2 linked regions of the Struthio camelus genome follow. The protein of the gene in region 1 interacts with the protein of each later gene in a pairwise test. Links are inferred from orthologs where the notes say so. Each region holds a gene or a part of one and is shown on either strand. Other genes may lie near its edges. The genes, in order: FRK and BNIP2.

What was found.
Region 2: the proteins of FRK (region 1) and BNIP2 interact in binary tests that used the Homo sapiens proteins (3 or more experiments, as listed by UniProt). The two-hybrid records come from large-scale screens. The link is inferred for Struthio camelus from reciprocal best matches to the Homo sapiens genes FRK and BNIP2.

The regions. Positions count from the first base shown.
Region 1 is NC_090944.1:63,933,950-63,942,471, forward strand, and holds the start of FRK (tyrosine-protein kinase FRK), read right to left. Parts: upstream 3,353-8,522; 5' UTR 2,598-3,352; coding exon 2,170-2,597; intron 1-2,169. UniProt on the Homo sapiens protein: Non-receptor tyrosine-protein kinase that negatively regulates cell proliferation.
Region 2 is NC_090953.1:19,540,071-19,548,079, forward strand, and holds the start of BNIP2 (BCL2/adenovirus E1B 19 kDa protein-interacting protein 2), read right to left. Parts: upstream 3,414-8,009; 5' UTR 3,298-3,413; intron 1-3,297.

The sequences.
Region 1 (8,522 bases):
CACCAAAGGAGAGCTAATTAAAATCAAAATGAAAAGGTTTACTTTAAAGAAAACAAGATTTAGCTCTTTAAAACACTGCCATTACTGCAGATCTTATTGTTTCATCTAATTTTCTTCACTAGAATAACAGACATATGAAAGGTGGAGCATAGGTGAGGGTGAAGTTTTAGAGGAAATTATAGCAAGGAAAATTCCACTTGGAATACGGAGAAAATTCCTCACCATAAGGGCGAAAAGGTCAAGTGGACACAGCCCTAAGCAAGCTGGTCTAACTTTACGTTGGCCACATTTTGAGTTGAGGGGTTGGTGCGAGTGACCTTCAGAGGTCCTTTCCACCTAAGTTAGTCTATGATTATACGAAAGGATATCTGCGGGCCTGATGCAAGAAAGTCTTGTGTACTTATTTTTACTGAAGGTCACTAAGGCCAACTGACCTAGCAGGAAATCTGAATACCTGAGAAAAGACTACATATTTAGCCAGATTAGTTTTGGTATTACACTAAAGCACTGACAAACTTTTGAAGAAATGACTTCGAGTGCTGTGCAAGCTTCACACTTCTTCTCAACTGTTCTAAAAAAAAGAATCTATAAACAAAAATCTGTTATCAAAATTTAATCTTTACTAAAAAAGGAGGAGAAGTATATAAAGATTTTTTTTTTCTATAAAAAGCAAAAAAATCATTATTCGGCAATGCACTTTGGCAAAGTTAACTCCATATCTGATGCTGGAGATCTAGAAAGATAAGAAGGATCTTAAGAGCTGATACTTGAGACTTTGCTGTATAACTGAACAAAGTTACTTTCACAGTATTAACAGCAAGTAGAAATTGTAGATGACTTGTTGAGAAAACTAGGTTCTTGAAAGAGTCTGAAGGTCAAGCTGAGTTGAATTATAGCCTACCACCACTTCTCCAGTGGTTCGGAAGACCACCTTCCTTGCAGATTAATTTCTGCAATTGGAAGAATTCTTCTGAACACGATCATTGAAAACATTGTCTGCCTGAACACAGAAAAAGAAATGGCTGGTCAGTTTCTGGAAATTAAGGTTTTCAGGTTACAATTGCCCTAAGATGCCTCCTGAACAAATCTTACAGTTGATAAAGGACTGGCATAATCATATCTAAGCCAATTATCCTAGCCCTAGAAAATACAGTGCACGGATCAGATCAGAGGTGATGTTTCAGGTCCAAAGGAGCTTTAACTGAAAAACTGCAATGTCATTCCTCTCAGGTTTAAAGAAAATCTTTGGACATGATGAGTAAAGAGATATACACAGTTTCTAGTCAAAATGATTTCTGCAAGCTAAGAATGCTATTTCTGTTGTCTCTTTCCATATTGATAATTTGCATGCACATATTTCTGGAATTGCAGTCAGTGCTGTTTTAGTAAGTGCTGCCCCTGATTGCAACACACAAAAATAACTGCATCCCAGACTGATTCATCACCACTCATCCTCACTAGAGAGCTAAGTAACTTATTATATGTCATTTCTGGTCCAGTTCTGAATGTTAAATATGATCAAATGTGTTTTCAAGGGTCAGACAAATATGGGCTGTGTAATTAAGCTCTGTGAAACTTAAACAAATCTAATTTGCATTCCTTTGCTATATCCACTTTCTTTTTCCTTTGCAGTACTTACTCCGGTTAACTTTGTTCTGGGAGCAGGGATTTGCTTACAGATAAGAAATGGTTCAGTGGGAACCATGAGAAAGTAAGTTATCTTTTAGAGACTCACTTGTAACAGGAATCTAAAGGTATAAAGGTAGCTTCCTGAAACTCTGACTAATTGCTAACATGGCACGTAGTTAGACTAAAGGCTGTTTAGGGCAGGGGTTATTTCTTTTTACTTTCTGAAAAGCATCTAACACACACTTACTCTCATACCAATAGCAACAGTGAGCTCTCACAGTGGTAACCAGCCTGATTCCCAGATGCTTCTTGAGCAGGCAATTAGGGCATATCAGAGAGGGAAATAATTTAAACCAAAACCTGAACACTTTACCCCTTATAATTGATCTTTTTGAGACCGTGGCGTCTTCTCCTCACACACGCAAGGAGGCTGAGTGTGGCAGGGTCCTACTCAGCAAATAAAAAGCCATAAAAGTCTGCTCCAAACCAGTTTAAACTAACAGAAAAGAGATTGCAGTGTATGTTACACAGGTTACTTACAGTTCAGCTTCAATGGTCTGGTCAGCAGCTATGTAGTTGGCAGGGATGTAGCCCTGGAGCTTGCGGCCGGGACAGACTGACCCCCTCGGCAGGAGGAGCCTAGCATACCACCAGCCCTCGTGGGAAGCATCCAGCACTTCAAGCTTGTCGCCAGCTTGGAAGCTCAAGTCCTCTTCAGTCCGAGCCTCATAGTCAAAGAGTGCCACAAATCTGCGAGTATTCACCAGATGCTCCCCAGGCAGCGAAGGCAAAGGTTTACCTCTTATTTCACTGTATCTGTCTTTCTGCCCTGTTTGGAAGGCATCTCCTGTGACAGCAGGGTTGGCGAAGACCTGGCCAACCTCATTCCGATCATTTTCTCCCCGTGAGAATACGCAAGGGATACAGGGCTGCAAACAGATGCAATGCCTCTGACAAAAGTTTCCCATCCTGCTGCTCTATTTCTTTGTACCTTCCTCTGTTTTCTTCTTCTCTTTTACTTTCCGAACTGCAATACTCTTAGACAACTTTTTGCACCATCAACATTTCAGTTCTTTGCAGCGTTTCTTCCTCTCCTCCTCCTTTGGCACAAAATGAAACAACTCTTGCCCCAGCTGAACCTTCTCTCCAAGCCCCACCGGGAGCTCATTACAGGCGGCTCCTGATTCAGGAGTGAAACCTGAGCGTCCAAGCGCTGGAGCACATGTGGAGGGAAATTTCTCACTTCCTCTTCTGAACAGGAAAGCAACAAAAGAACTGTGTTTGGGCTGAAGTCTTGGAACAATAGGAGAGCATGGGTCCTTTTCTCCTACAGCAAAAAACAAATTCAGAAGATCTGATGTGGGAGGCTTCTCATTTCTTACTGCTTGTGAGGGGAGTTTTCTTATGGCAAACAGGTTTCTTCTGTGTGATCAGCTGTGAACTTCTGTACAGTCTGTCTCAGTAATGATTAACCAAGCTGACCTGATTGTTTCTTTAGCAGTCTCCGACGTGGACAGGCTGAATATTTCTTTTTGTTTCCTGGTTTGCTTCGGTTTTTCTTCTCGGTGGGAATCCTTTGCATGCCTGAGGCTGGGAGGCGCCCTCACCTGGAGCACACCTGCTGTTTCTGTGCCTGCTTTACACACAGGCATTTCCTCCTGCTGAAGGTCAGGGCTTTGAAACAGTCCTCTGGCTATTTTCTTTTCTTTTCTTTTCTTTTCTTTTTTTTTTCCAAATGAGCTGGGTTTGGCACTTTGTATGAGGAAAAATAAATATATGGGACTTACAGTAAAACAGTAATAGATTTTAATTCATTCCTTATTCTGCATTTTAAAAGAGCAAAGTCACTAGCCAAAGAATTGCTTTAAAGGGTTAGCTAACTTTACCAACCACACATAAAAAAAGATGGTGGTCTTCCAGTCAGCAAGTAAACCAATGGAAACTAAGCTAGCCTGTATGGGTCCGTTTCTAAAGCACCTATAAACTGGTAGACACACCCGGAATGGGCGTCTGGATGCTGCCAAGGCAAAGCAGCCTGGAGAGCCATCTCCTGCATCCCAGCAGTGTTAGCCAAGCTTTATCACAGCTGCAAATCACCACAGTGCGGGGAACATGTAATGTTTTGAGCAAGAAGCAGAAGAGGTAGCTTGCCTGTGCCCCACGGTGACATTTCGGTAAGAGGCAAAATAGGGCAAACACAACCCACGCAAAGAAATGGCACTTCCTGGAGATAAAGAAAAGCAGCTTCATCAATTTTCTTATCAGCAATAACTAGCAATAACTCCTTAATCATTTTCATGTCTCCTTTTTGCTCCATTTGCAGTTGCTGACTGCTATTGCTGTACTTTACTGGAAGGAACAAGGAAACTGAGGCCACTGCTGTTTTCACCATGTCTCTCAGTCAGTCCTTTGAGTGAGTGGAGACTGGTGGCACGAGCAGCCTTGTGATGGACTTGTGGCTGCTGGATATCTGAAAGAAGCTTTTGCTGTCTGCGTATTACTACCTGAGGCATCTCCACCAAAGAGGGATGGGCAACTGGGTCCCTTGCTCCTCTTCCGCAATGATGCGATGGAAACTGAATAAATGGGAAAATACCACGCACACCAGCTGATTACTAAACCCCATAATCTGTAATGAATCCTTTGGGCCCAACCAAAAATAGCATGTTACAAAAATCATATTCAGCTTGTGAATCGTCACATAGCTCTTAACCACATTAACAAGAATATGGACAGCCAATAGATATTTGCTTTCATAAGTGTGTTGGACAGTATCCAAAGACTGAAAAGTCTTATTTTGAATGGGAAATTATTTTAATTAGTCTTGTTTCAAGAATTATCTAAATTTACTGAGATCAGGAAACATTAGAAAAGATTTATTACATAATCTCTGTTTTCTCAGTTTTCAGATGTGTGGATTTGATAGGCTTTTCCTGTAAAGTGTTCCATGTTTCCCATAACTTAGGCATTAAGCTGGCAAAGATTTGCATGCGCATTTACAGCACAAAATAGTTCCATCATGACAATGAAGCTACTTACCTAGTACAGAATCAAACTCATGCACAAGCTCTTTCCAAGATTAAGACCTATCTTTGCCCTCCAGTACCAATACACACATTGGAAATCCCATTGAATACACTGAGACCACTCAGATAAATATTTATATAACTGTAGTGAAATTGTGGCTTGAGCTTGCAAACATTTCTGTATGTGAATATCTTAGCTCAGACAATCCCAGGCATTAAATTCATCTTCTCTCCCAATTTATGCCCCTGCTTGGCTTTACAAGATGAGAAAGACTTTTTCTGAAAGCGGTCAATAACTGCACACTAGATTATTTCCTTCCAAATCAACCCTTTAGGATCAGTTCTATTTATGAAGCAAGCAGACTTCAATAAATAGCCATGAGATTCGTTAATCAGATTCAAGAAATTAGAAAAAAAGAGAGAGAGAAAGGAAAGATTATGCAAAGGAGACAGTTTCTGAAGCAGATGGGTAATAGGTCTGCTGAGAAATGCTCTGCAAATTCCAGGGCCTGTGTGGGCTGGAAATGTGGTTCGTCTCATTCCAGCTAAACTGTGGTAGTCACACTGGATCATTGTCTTTGCAAATGTTTTTGCCCATCCTAGTGATTTTATTAAGAATTCTCCGCATTTCTGAAAATAAAGCACTAGTCCTTATGTTTTAGAGACCACAAAATTTTATCACAGGTGAGACCAAAATGAACACATAATAAAAATGTTTTCACTGTTTCTGCTGAAAACAAAAATCCTATTATCTTCATTTACATGCTGCTCATAGTTTTGAACAAACTAGGATAATCTTGTATATTTAGCAGCTTTTGAATACAAACTATTGACCAAGTCTTGTGTGCTGGTATTGCATATCATTTGATAGGATAATCTTTGCAACAACTTTGTGGGGGGGGGGAGGGGGGTGGGCGGGGGGTGGGTGGGTAGGTGGGTTTTTTTCCCCCCCTGGTATCCTAGAATATTTTCTTTCTGAAAAAGGAGACCAAGCAGATCAGTATTACTCACTGGCCTTCTGTTTCTTTATTTCATTTATTTTGGAGGCTGAATGTCAAATCAGAAATCGTCCCTATAAATAAGCTACTGTCTGTATAGTGGCTGTGAAAGACTTAATTAGGTATATTGATGAATTTTATTAGCGTAAATGCTTTGAGAAGGACAGCAGAGTCTCACCTCATTTTTACAACTGACAATGGCTAGAGAGAAGGATGATTTTATCATGGACAGAATGGCACATTTACAGTATGGATCCTGAAATTTAGCATTCTGGTCCTTATATTAATATTAAAGAAATCATAAATATTGGAAGTAATTTCTTGAAATATGCAACACCTTAAAACAAAGATGGATCATTTTCCATCTGTGTCTGACAGGATCCTATAAACTTAGATTTTAGAAAAGGAAAAGAACCTACTCAATCAAATAGTCCATTTCCCCTTCAAAATGTGTAATTCCCCATTGCTATTGAAGTAGATTTCCTTATACCATAATGAAAAAAATCCACATTGATACTGTTGGTTCAAAGATGACACATACCTGAAGTTACTTTTTATGTTCTGTATGGTACGTACAAAGCCCATAAATAAATTAGTCTTGCAAACATTGCATTAGACTTGCGATCCTTCTGTCATAAAGGATTTACTTTGCATGCCACTAAATTCATTAAATCAAATTCGCTTTAGGCCTGGTTTATACTACAAAACAATCATGTTTAAATATGGTGGTGAAACATATTTCTCTCAGTTGCCTGAATGGACAGAAGAATAATGTGTTGTTATGTTATGGTTTAATAAGACTCGTACAAACCTAATCTGAAACACTGATATTAGCTGAACTGCTCTTGGAATGAGCTACTGCTCCACATGAACAGAAGTAACAGACTAAATCATATTAATACATAACATTTCAAAAGTGTTGTTTTGATAGAATTTGTATTTGTATTCCATGCTTTCGAAACTGTTTTTTATTAGTTTTCATTGTAGATATTTCCTATATTTATTGTATTGTTTGTAATATTTATAGAACCATTGCTATAATTATGCAATAACTTAGAGTTTTAGAAAAAATGAACATTTCCTCCTTCATTTCATAAAAATTCAGCTCTATATTTCAGAAGCAGGGACTGAACATCACTGAGTATCGGGCTTTAGTACTGATGATACATGATGTTCCAAACAAGTCCCCTATGCCATGCAGAGAAGAATTACAGTCAGAACTGTATTCTCTGTTGGGGAAAATGAATATTCCAAAGCAATATCAACCAGCAGTTTGGTTAAGAAATATGAGCCAGTCCAAACTGGAAACTGAAAAAGAAAGCGCTTTATCTTATTAATAAGATAAGATTGCAACAGAAACAAACATTTTCCTCTATAATTGTTTTAAATTTTGTAAACAAAAAAAAAACCCTTCTCTGTTGAAAACTAAGGAATTAAGAAAATATAAAATACAAGAACTATCATTAAATAATGTATGAAACTGCTGTCCACAGCATCATTTTTGGTATTGTATAATCTTCTTCTAACCAATAGTTAAAATGTTGCCAATAATACATCGGGCAATTTACATATTTGGAAATAATATACCTCTCTTAGAAACTAACTCCTTAATGCATTGTGATCAAGCAAGTTAAAGGTTCTAGGTAAATAAAATATTCCAATAATATGATCTTTAAAGAAAAAAGAAGAAAAGAAAATATATAATGCTATGAATCTGTGTGTGGTAAATAATTCAAGTGATTAAACAGTTTAAAGTTGTGTTGGTTGTTAAAGTAACAAATAAAAATGAAGCATAGTGATTTTTTTTTATTACAGCTGTCTTTCCAGCAATATTTCTTTTCATTTGCACGTTAGAAAGAAACACATTACCACCACTTTGTAGCTTTTTTATAATCCTTTTAATCAGCCCTTCCATTTTGTTTCTGTAATTTGCAAATTGCCGTTCTTTTCAATGAAAATAAATTATTTATGTAATTTTACTCTTGATGAAATTGTTTATCCTTATTGATTAATCGTATTCCCCTTTTGTGTGTGATCTTAAACCATAAATCTACAAAGACATAGGGTTATATTTGATCCTGTATTTTCCACTTTAAATTGTGTGCATTTGTAATGAGAAAAATCTGGCTATTTATTTTTATAAAGCTGATCCAGTAATCCATCTCTGCTCTAGACAGCTTTAAAAGTACATTTTCAAGTGCTTTAGTGATGTGGATTGCTTATTTATTTGCTGAATTGGGGCCTAATACAGGCTACGTCTCACAACAAATGAACACAGAGGAATTAGATTCTGTCAAGGAGTGAACTAGTGTATGTGACTTTCTGTTTGTGCAAACAATCAGATCTCATTCTTCCTAAATTTAATGAGTTTTGCCATTATCTTCAATGGGACCTGATCTGAGCCACTATTTTTCATTTTATTGTTCATTATTCTAATTGATATACAGCCCATAGTGTTAAAAACTGTAAGTTAATTTGCTTTCTATGAAGCAGCCATTCTGTATAAAATCATTCTGTAATTTTCTAAGGCATGAAAAATACTTGTAATCAAATCTGTCTCTGGGTAGGAAGAATATGGCAAGTGGATGATCAAAGAATTCTCAGTGAACATGAGTCTGCCATTCTTCCAAGCAAATCTCTTCTGAAACTGATCCTGTTATAGAGATTTTTTTTTTTAACTTAAAAAGTGTATCTTTTTGTGAAGACTTCATGATGGGACAAATTCATTTCTCACATAACTCTATCAACTTCTGCGCACTATGCCATGGATGACTTATGAGCATCGTTATCATATCTTATCAGATGCTTATGACTTTAGCATCTTTATCTTCAGAAACTGGAAGGAGAAACATCAAGGCAAAGAGTCCAA
Region 2 (8,009 bases), on another chromosome or scaffold:
CCCAATTCACCTGGAGGGTCAGACTCCTTGTTTGAATTCTTCCGCCCCTGCATGGCACAGTTGCTGGCAGTGTGTATGCGCTTACGCACCCACACTCGTGGCCCCCAAGTAAGGTCCTTCCAGCTCTCCTGCTTTTCCCTTTTTTTTTTTTTTTTAATAATATGCTGCTTGCAGTAGTTTCTTGCTGCTTGAATCATAGGATATTCCTCAGGAAACGTGTCCTCTCTTTCATTAAGATGCTGACATTTTTAAGCAAAGTCTCCTGCATGCTAACCTGTTAGCATTTATTAGAAACAATTAATTTTTAATATTTGCTTGGAGATAAGCTCATATTTTGATCAATAGTAACAGGTGAATTTATATGCAGTTCTTTCTGAATTTTTGTTTTGGACCACTTAAATGGAACATGGGAGGTTTCCAAAAACATCCTACACAATCACATGAACAGAATAGCGTGGTTACAAACAGCATGGAATAGAGTATCTGACGGTTCACTGAAAACAAACAAACAGATCCTAAACCTAAAAGAAAATCTAAACTGATTACTTCAATCTTAAGGGACAAATCACTAATGAAAAAAACTGACAGTGTACAAACAAACAAGCCCTGTCACTGCGCTGGTGCCTGTGAGATGCTACCCTTGAGCTTGTCTGCACCACATTCACAATACAGTTCCCACAAGAGAGCTTAAAGTAGAGTTTTGCTTAAAGTTTCTCACCACACTTTTGAAGAATGCTGAACATCAAGTAACATCCATTAATTTAAGACATACAGCATTTCAGTGCAGAAACGGTTCCTGCCTACATACGTTTCCTTACATTGAGGTAAACTCAATGCACTAAGACACAGACTTTAAAAGTTCTTTTCAGGAGGTAATAACATTTTAAAATACTCTTACAAAATATTTCCCACATCCCTTGCAGAATTCTCATCAGCAACATCTCATAAAAGTGTATTAAAAACAATTATTTGCTAAAGACTGCACAATTGCAAACAACTTGCAAAGCAAGTTCCAAATCATAAAACTTTTCTTATATAAGAAAATATAAAAGTTATATAAGTTTTAGCCTATTCCATTTCTGCATCCTACTAAACATTCAGATTAAGTAACAATTTGGGATTTTTTGACTTTATTTAAGTCTCACTTGCAAAAGCACTACCATTTAGCAACTAGAAAAATTAGAAATTAAGGAAGGAGGGTAATCTTCAATTTCAGGAAAGTTAGAAGAGTGCCAACTTTCAAGTTAGCTACTGAATGCTTTACATCATTAATATAAATACTTACAAAGCAGGAAAAAATAAATTCTATTATTTCTGCTTCTACAAACTAAAGCAGACTTTTGAATACAGTCTTCCCATGGCTACCGTGGGAGCGCTGACTTCCTGTGTTTTTACTGTGCCAAACTCTCTCATTAATTAATGAGTAGAAGAAAGATCTAGAAAACTAAACTTGAAAAATGTAATATACTGTAATAACGCAATTCTTTATTAGTCACGTAGAAGAAAAGCAAGCAGTTTCTACCTGGTCCTATCACTCTTTGTGGCCAACTCAAAAAAGCCCTGGTTTCTCGGAACAGCACGCTTGCTCATTTTCACTCCCTACTGCTCATTATTCTCCATTTTATTGCTGGAAATGGAATTTGAATAGTCCAGGCTACAAAGGTTAGAAACTTCCACATGTTGGAAAACATATGGATGCAGGACTGCCACGTGGTTCTGCTCTTTTACTGGAACCCCGGACACCGGGGTGTGACAGTGCCTCTTGCACTTGTGTACTGTACCTCCAGAGGCAAGTCACAACATTACAAACGGGGAAAAAAACACCTAACAGGGCAAAACATCACTAAAATCCACTACTTTTCTGCTGCAGCTAATGAAGTTTTCATTTGAAGAGGTTACTGCTTGTACCTGAAGTCAAACAGCACTGTTCTCAGCCCTTTCTCTGCTAGATGAGCGCACACAGTTTTCACGGTTATCCCACCAATACTGTTAGGGCAGGTGCTGCAATACCAAATAGGAGAGCGAAGAGAAGCCTACGGTAAACTGCCGTTTCTTGGTTTGGTTTACAGTTGAACAGAAGAAGTCAACAATATCGCTCTAATTTATCCTAGATACTTAAAAGAGAAAGCGACAGACAACAGAATGCATGAAATCTGTTTTATTTATGAAGTTAAAGCTGCTTTTTAAATAGTTTTCACTGTTGAATTCTCAGAAGAGAAGGAATACACAGCTGAACAGGAGTTAAGCATCTGGATACGCTCACATCTCTCTATCCCAGACAAAGACCTATTTGCAGCCCTTGATCAGCACCGCACTGTTTGAAGTAAAATAACTCTGGGGTTTATTCTGCAAGAGGACTGCAGTGAGTACACGATTAAACTACGTACTACGTGACCTGCACGAAGAACAGCCTGCTATTCCAGTATCAGGAAGCTGAAATTAACTTCAAACAAAGCTAGCTAACTTTTTTTCTACATTTTACCTTCACCATTTCAGAGACGCATTAAATTGAAATCCAGCTTGCAGGCATTAAAGACGTGTAATCTAAGAGTATTTTTCAAGTTTGGTTTCACAGCAAGCCAAAAGCAAGGAACACATATCTGTTTTCTTGCACCCATATCCATATTGCGTAGCTCACCGTAATTCCTAAGCGCTTCTACAGCCCTTTTAAATAGCTTTATAAAGCTTTTAAAACGCGGCCACACTAACCGTAACGCTGCAAAACAGTATCTCCCAGATCTGGCGACAGACGTTTTATAATCAAGACTCTACCACGTACAAGCTTACAAAACGAGGTCACGCAATGACTTCCATTACTAACAGATTACTTCTCAATCTTTTTCCTCCCTTCCCTCAACACGAGCAAATCATAGCGAAACCATCGGGAAAGGATGAGATTTATGACAACGCTCTTGCTCTCCTCTCTGAGGAGGCCGCTTTTGGGCTGCGCTTCGCCGGCGAGGCGTGGGCTGGTCGGGCCCCTGAGTTACAGATTCCTACTACAAGTACTCAGAGCGACAGAAGAACCTTCGCTCCCGAAATCGCTGCGATGTGAAGGCAAGCACCGAGCGGCGAGGAGACCGCCCGAACGGCTGCGCGCGCCCCGCGGGCCGCCCACGGCCAGCGCTCCTCGCCCGACCGCCGCAGCGCCCCGCTGCCCTCGCGCAACCGACAGCTGCCGCCAGGCCCCGGAGCGCCCGCCGCCCCGCGCCACGGGCGGCCCCGCCGAAGCCTGCCGAGCCACAGCAGGCCGCGCCGACGCCCCGCGCCCGCGCCCGCCCCCGCCGCGGGCCGTACCTGGCGGAGGCAGCCGACGCCCGCAGGCCGCCGCGCAAAGGCCCGCGACGCGCTAACCCGGAAGCGGATAGGCCGCCGCGCTCACGTGACGCCGCGCTCCGCGGCCGCTGGGGCTGGGGGAGGGAAGGGGGCGCTGGCGCGCACGCGTGGAAGAAGCCATCCGCCTCACCCGCCCCTCCCAGCTCCGGCAGCTGGCGCATGCGCACGCGGTCCTCGCGCGCCCGGCCGTTGGGGGCGCGCGGGGCGTCCGTTGGCGCCCCGTGAGGCGGCCGCGGCCAAGGGCCCGGGCGGGCCCGCGTGTGCTGCGAGCGCTTGAGGGACGCCGAGGTGTGCGTGAGGGGCGAGGGCGGGGCTTCCTCCCTGAGGGGCGGGAGAACGGATACAACGGGGAGTGCGTCCTGGGGAGGCGACGGAGCGGAGGTGCTGAGGGAGAAAAAAAGTCCCAACCTCATTTGGAATTACAGCTTCAGCTATTTAAGTGTCAGGTGTGGCATCCAAAATACTGTCCTTCAACACGAAATAATTAATTTCCAGATTTTAATATTACAGAGGCAGGATAGAAGCATAGGAAATTCGATGAAGCTCGTTGCCATCATAATCGCATACGTAACGAAAGGTGATGATGGAGACCCGTTTTGGCCGAGGTCTCTGGGAGGAGGGGCTGGTTTTTGGCTGAGGTAGAGAGGGAGGTCTGTGTTATGTTCCCCCCCCCCCCCCCCCCACTGGTGACTGCCCTGCCTGGTGTGGTACGGGTCAGCAGGACAAGAGAACGCTTACAGCACAGGGATTTTATCATGCTTAGGGTGAAATGTCATGAACACTAGCTGATTTCTACAACGGGGCTGTTGCTGGAAAGTGAATACACGCATTCCAAGCGTATATGCAAACAAATTCAGATACATGCAGAATTGGCCACTCACTCACACATTGCTATGACACTGAGACAGCTACTAACTTCATTTTTACTTCTCACTGCCACTGTGTTGCCCAAAGGTGAAAGATGCAACAACAGTGACAAGTTTGTTTTATTCTAGGGTAGAGAAGAAACTTGGAACAAGCGTGACAGATGCGGAGAAGAGTGGGAAGAATTAAAGAGATTTAAGGGTATAAGAACTGAATGTAGGAAAACGTGAGAAAAGGAAAATATTGCTAAAGAAGAAGAGAACTCTCAGCCCACAAACCCCTGAGCAAAGGTAAAGTGCAAGAATAACTGGGGGGAAAAAGCAATAATTAAGGTAATTAGAACAGAGAAAATACCTGTATCAAGAATTAGCATCATGCAAACAGAGTGAGGCCTGTAGGCAGTACTGTAACATAATTATCAGGTAATAGCTACAAACACAAAGTAAGAGCTAGCTTAAAATATAAAAAAATGGGTATGCAACGACTGGTAGGAGAAATACAGTAACAGTGAGCCCAAACAGCAAAAGGGAACAATATTGCATTCTCCCATCTTTGTTCTGTCACCATTTTTTATTTCTGGAGGTCAGAATGCCACAGAAGATGACCAAAGAGCATTATTTAGTGCTTAAGAACATTATACTTTTCAGTCTGCTCCCAGCTGCACACCAAACTTACCATTAGTAGCATACCTACTTTGGAACATCCCTTGACCATAGCATCCCAGTTTTTAAATGGTGGAGATCCACTTATGTGACTTCTGTGATCAGTGTGTAATAAAGTACTTGTCACGGTATTGAAGACTGAATGGTTAGGATCAGCGGTCTGTTGAATCAAGAGTATCTGTGAACAGTGGGAATTATTCAGACTATGCTGGGTCTGACTGAGCTCCGTAGATCAAGGGTCTCTGCTTCTTGGAGAGGAACATTACATTATCTGAAAGAGAAGTTCCCTTGTATTGGCTGGTCAGTTGACATTGAGCAAAACTTACCTGCGAGTCTGAAGCCTGAAGAAACTCTTACTTTATAAGCTAATTGAAGTTTGCAAAGTGTCAGAGTATAGATTTTCAGTCAGTAGTGTCCTGTTTTCGATAACGTAGAAAATCAGATTAAATTGTTCTGTAGAGAATAATTTTCTTACCCAAGAAATAATCTTCCTTGTCTTTCAACAGCAAGCCGTAATACATAGAGGGCCTTTATTTATTATTATTTCAACAGTTTGAAAGTTTTCCAGCAAATTAATGCTTTTACAGAAACTAAGTTTCATGCTAAATATTTTAATGCTTTCCAAAATGTGCTTCAGTTTTTGATAAAATTCAAAACTGTCCTTAGAATACACAGATTGTCATATTCTGTAAGGCATACTAACTCCAAACTCATTTTGCGAGGGTCAGCAATGTCATGCAATTTCTCATCTCTTACACGGGGTGGCACAGTATAGCTGGAAATCTATCGATATTCCTACGTAACCTAGAAAACAAGCAAACAAGGGGTCAGAGCTAACTACTAGGGAATGTTGAATAATTCTATTTTTAAACATCAGACCATTGCAAACGTAAGCAGATTTTTATATGAAAGCTTTACCAAAGAGAATAGGCTTGTAAGAATAATGCTTTGTCACATTAATTTTGTCCTGCATACCACAAAAAAAAAAAAACCCACAAACACAAACAAACAACCACCAACTGTTACACAACTTTCGGTCTGGTGTAATTCACAATTAACCTTTAAACATGAAATAGTCATGAAAAGCAGTAGAACACCAAAACATTCTAATTTTTCATAGTCTTTTCCTCATTTAACTTATAAGAAAAAAATTTCTAGTAATGTAAAAAAACCCAACAAATTAAGACTACCCCCTTTAAAATGGTTCATGCAACAACTCAGAAATGTTGGAATTTAAAAACACTCATTTGAAAGTCCATCTTTGCTTGAAGGTTGGACATAGGGACTGCAGTGATATGTAATCCCTCCTTGCCCTAGGCAGAAAGTAAGAATACTGGATTTTATTCAGTCTTATCTTGCCCTTTTTTGATGACAAGGTCTTTGGGCTGTAGTTTACCTCTACTTCTGTATTCCGCGTACATAATAATTTGTCTCCCATCTTATTAGACATTTTTTGCGATTCAGAATGACAAGAGCAACACATTATAAAGTAATAACTTTCATATATGTGGGCAGGGACTAAATAGTGCATAATGTTTTGAATCACTTGTGATATTCCTGTAGGGTACATCATCATCTCTTTAAAGCCATATGAAAGCTATTGAAATCAGTTGTCAGGATGGTGTAACTAGCTAAAGGTGATAGTTGCATCCTCTTTATATATCATGTGGTGAAACATGGTGCAGAGTGACCCTCCCCACAGTCCTCCTGTGCCCAGTTTACATTATCCCAAACCTGTTTGAGCTACTTCAGCTGGAACTCGCAATGCTGTAGTGGGCCATTCCTCTTCATCAGACTTACACTTCATACCTCTCCGAGAGCTGGGTGCCCTCCTTATTGCTTTGCCTTATTCTTTCTCTGAGCGCATACCTTCTAGCTGATGAGAGGTCAAGGCAGAAAGCAAGTCTAAGTGAAGGTCTTGCGTTCGGAATTCAGCTAAGGAAGTACAAGGATATAAAGAACGTGCACCTTTAATAACAATCAAATCAACCTCTTGACCTTTGCTATTTCAAGGCCATAGCTATTACTACATTCAAAAGAGACTCTTCATTCCTCCCGTACAGGATTTTAAGTTGTTTAATACATTTTTCTTATCAGCAAGCATCAGTTTGTTGATATGAGAGAGAGCAAGAGCCAGCTTGCTAGCCGTATGTCTACATTTGTGGGAGGGGATAGTGATTAACTTGTTTACAGAAGTTATTGGTACTCTTTATTAGTGTTTAAATAAGATTTCTGCAGGTGAAAGGTACTAAATACATTACTCTTAATATCATATTTGCAGACTACTGCATTCTCACAAAAGAGTAGTTACTAATCCCAGTTCTCACTTGAGTTGAAAACAGAGATAGCAAGTGCTCATAGGCTGACTCTATGGGAATAATGTGGAAAATAAAAGCAATAGGAATCTCTTGCTTCTGCCTTTTCTGGATAAAAGTCATTAGACAACTAATGCACCAGTATACTTGCAGGCAAACATTTGGCTCATTACCATTAACTTGCATTTTTAAATTTGTACTAGAACTTGTTCCTATCTCAAAAAAAGATGCCGGTAACGTCCGTTCTCTGAGGTTATTTTCTGCGTAATTATTTTTGACCTGTTATCATGCTTTGTAAAGATGTCTGATCTTTGCCATTTGCAGTATTAGCTTAAGTTTACCATAATGCTGTGTTCATAATATAATTTTTATTGTATTGTGCTCAGAATCCAATATAAAATGTGGATGACCGGCACTGGGAAAATATTTATCAAAAATCTGCAACTGCCCTCAAATAAAACTGAGTTCTCCATTTGCTTTCCTGTGTGTACTGGTGGTCAGGCTGTTACTCATATTCGCATACTATATGAATTCAGTGATACTTGGTTCAGATCACTTCTTACAGTTGCTGAAAAAAACATGAAGTACCCTGTTACATGGACAGAAGATGTCTTTGCTGGTTGAGCTTGAGGGGAAAACTGGGTACAATTATATATTCTTTTAATTATTCATGACTTGGGTCTGAACATGTATACGTTTTTCACTTATTCACTTTATAAAATTCAAAACTAAGCCCAGAAGCAGTTTTATTCTTGGCAGCATGACAAGTTTCCTTTCCTCAACAAACCAGTCAAAGGAATTGTTCCTCAGAGAGTTTGTCATCCCTACGTAT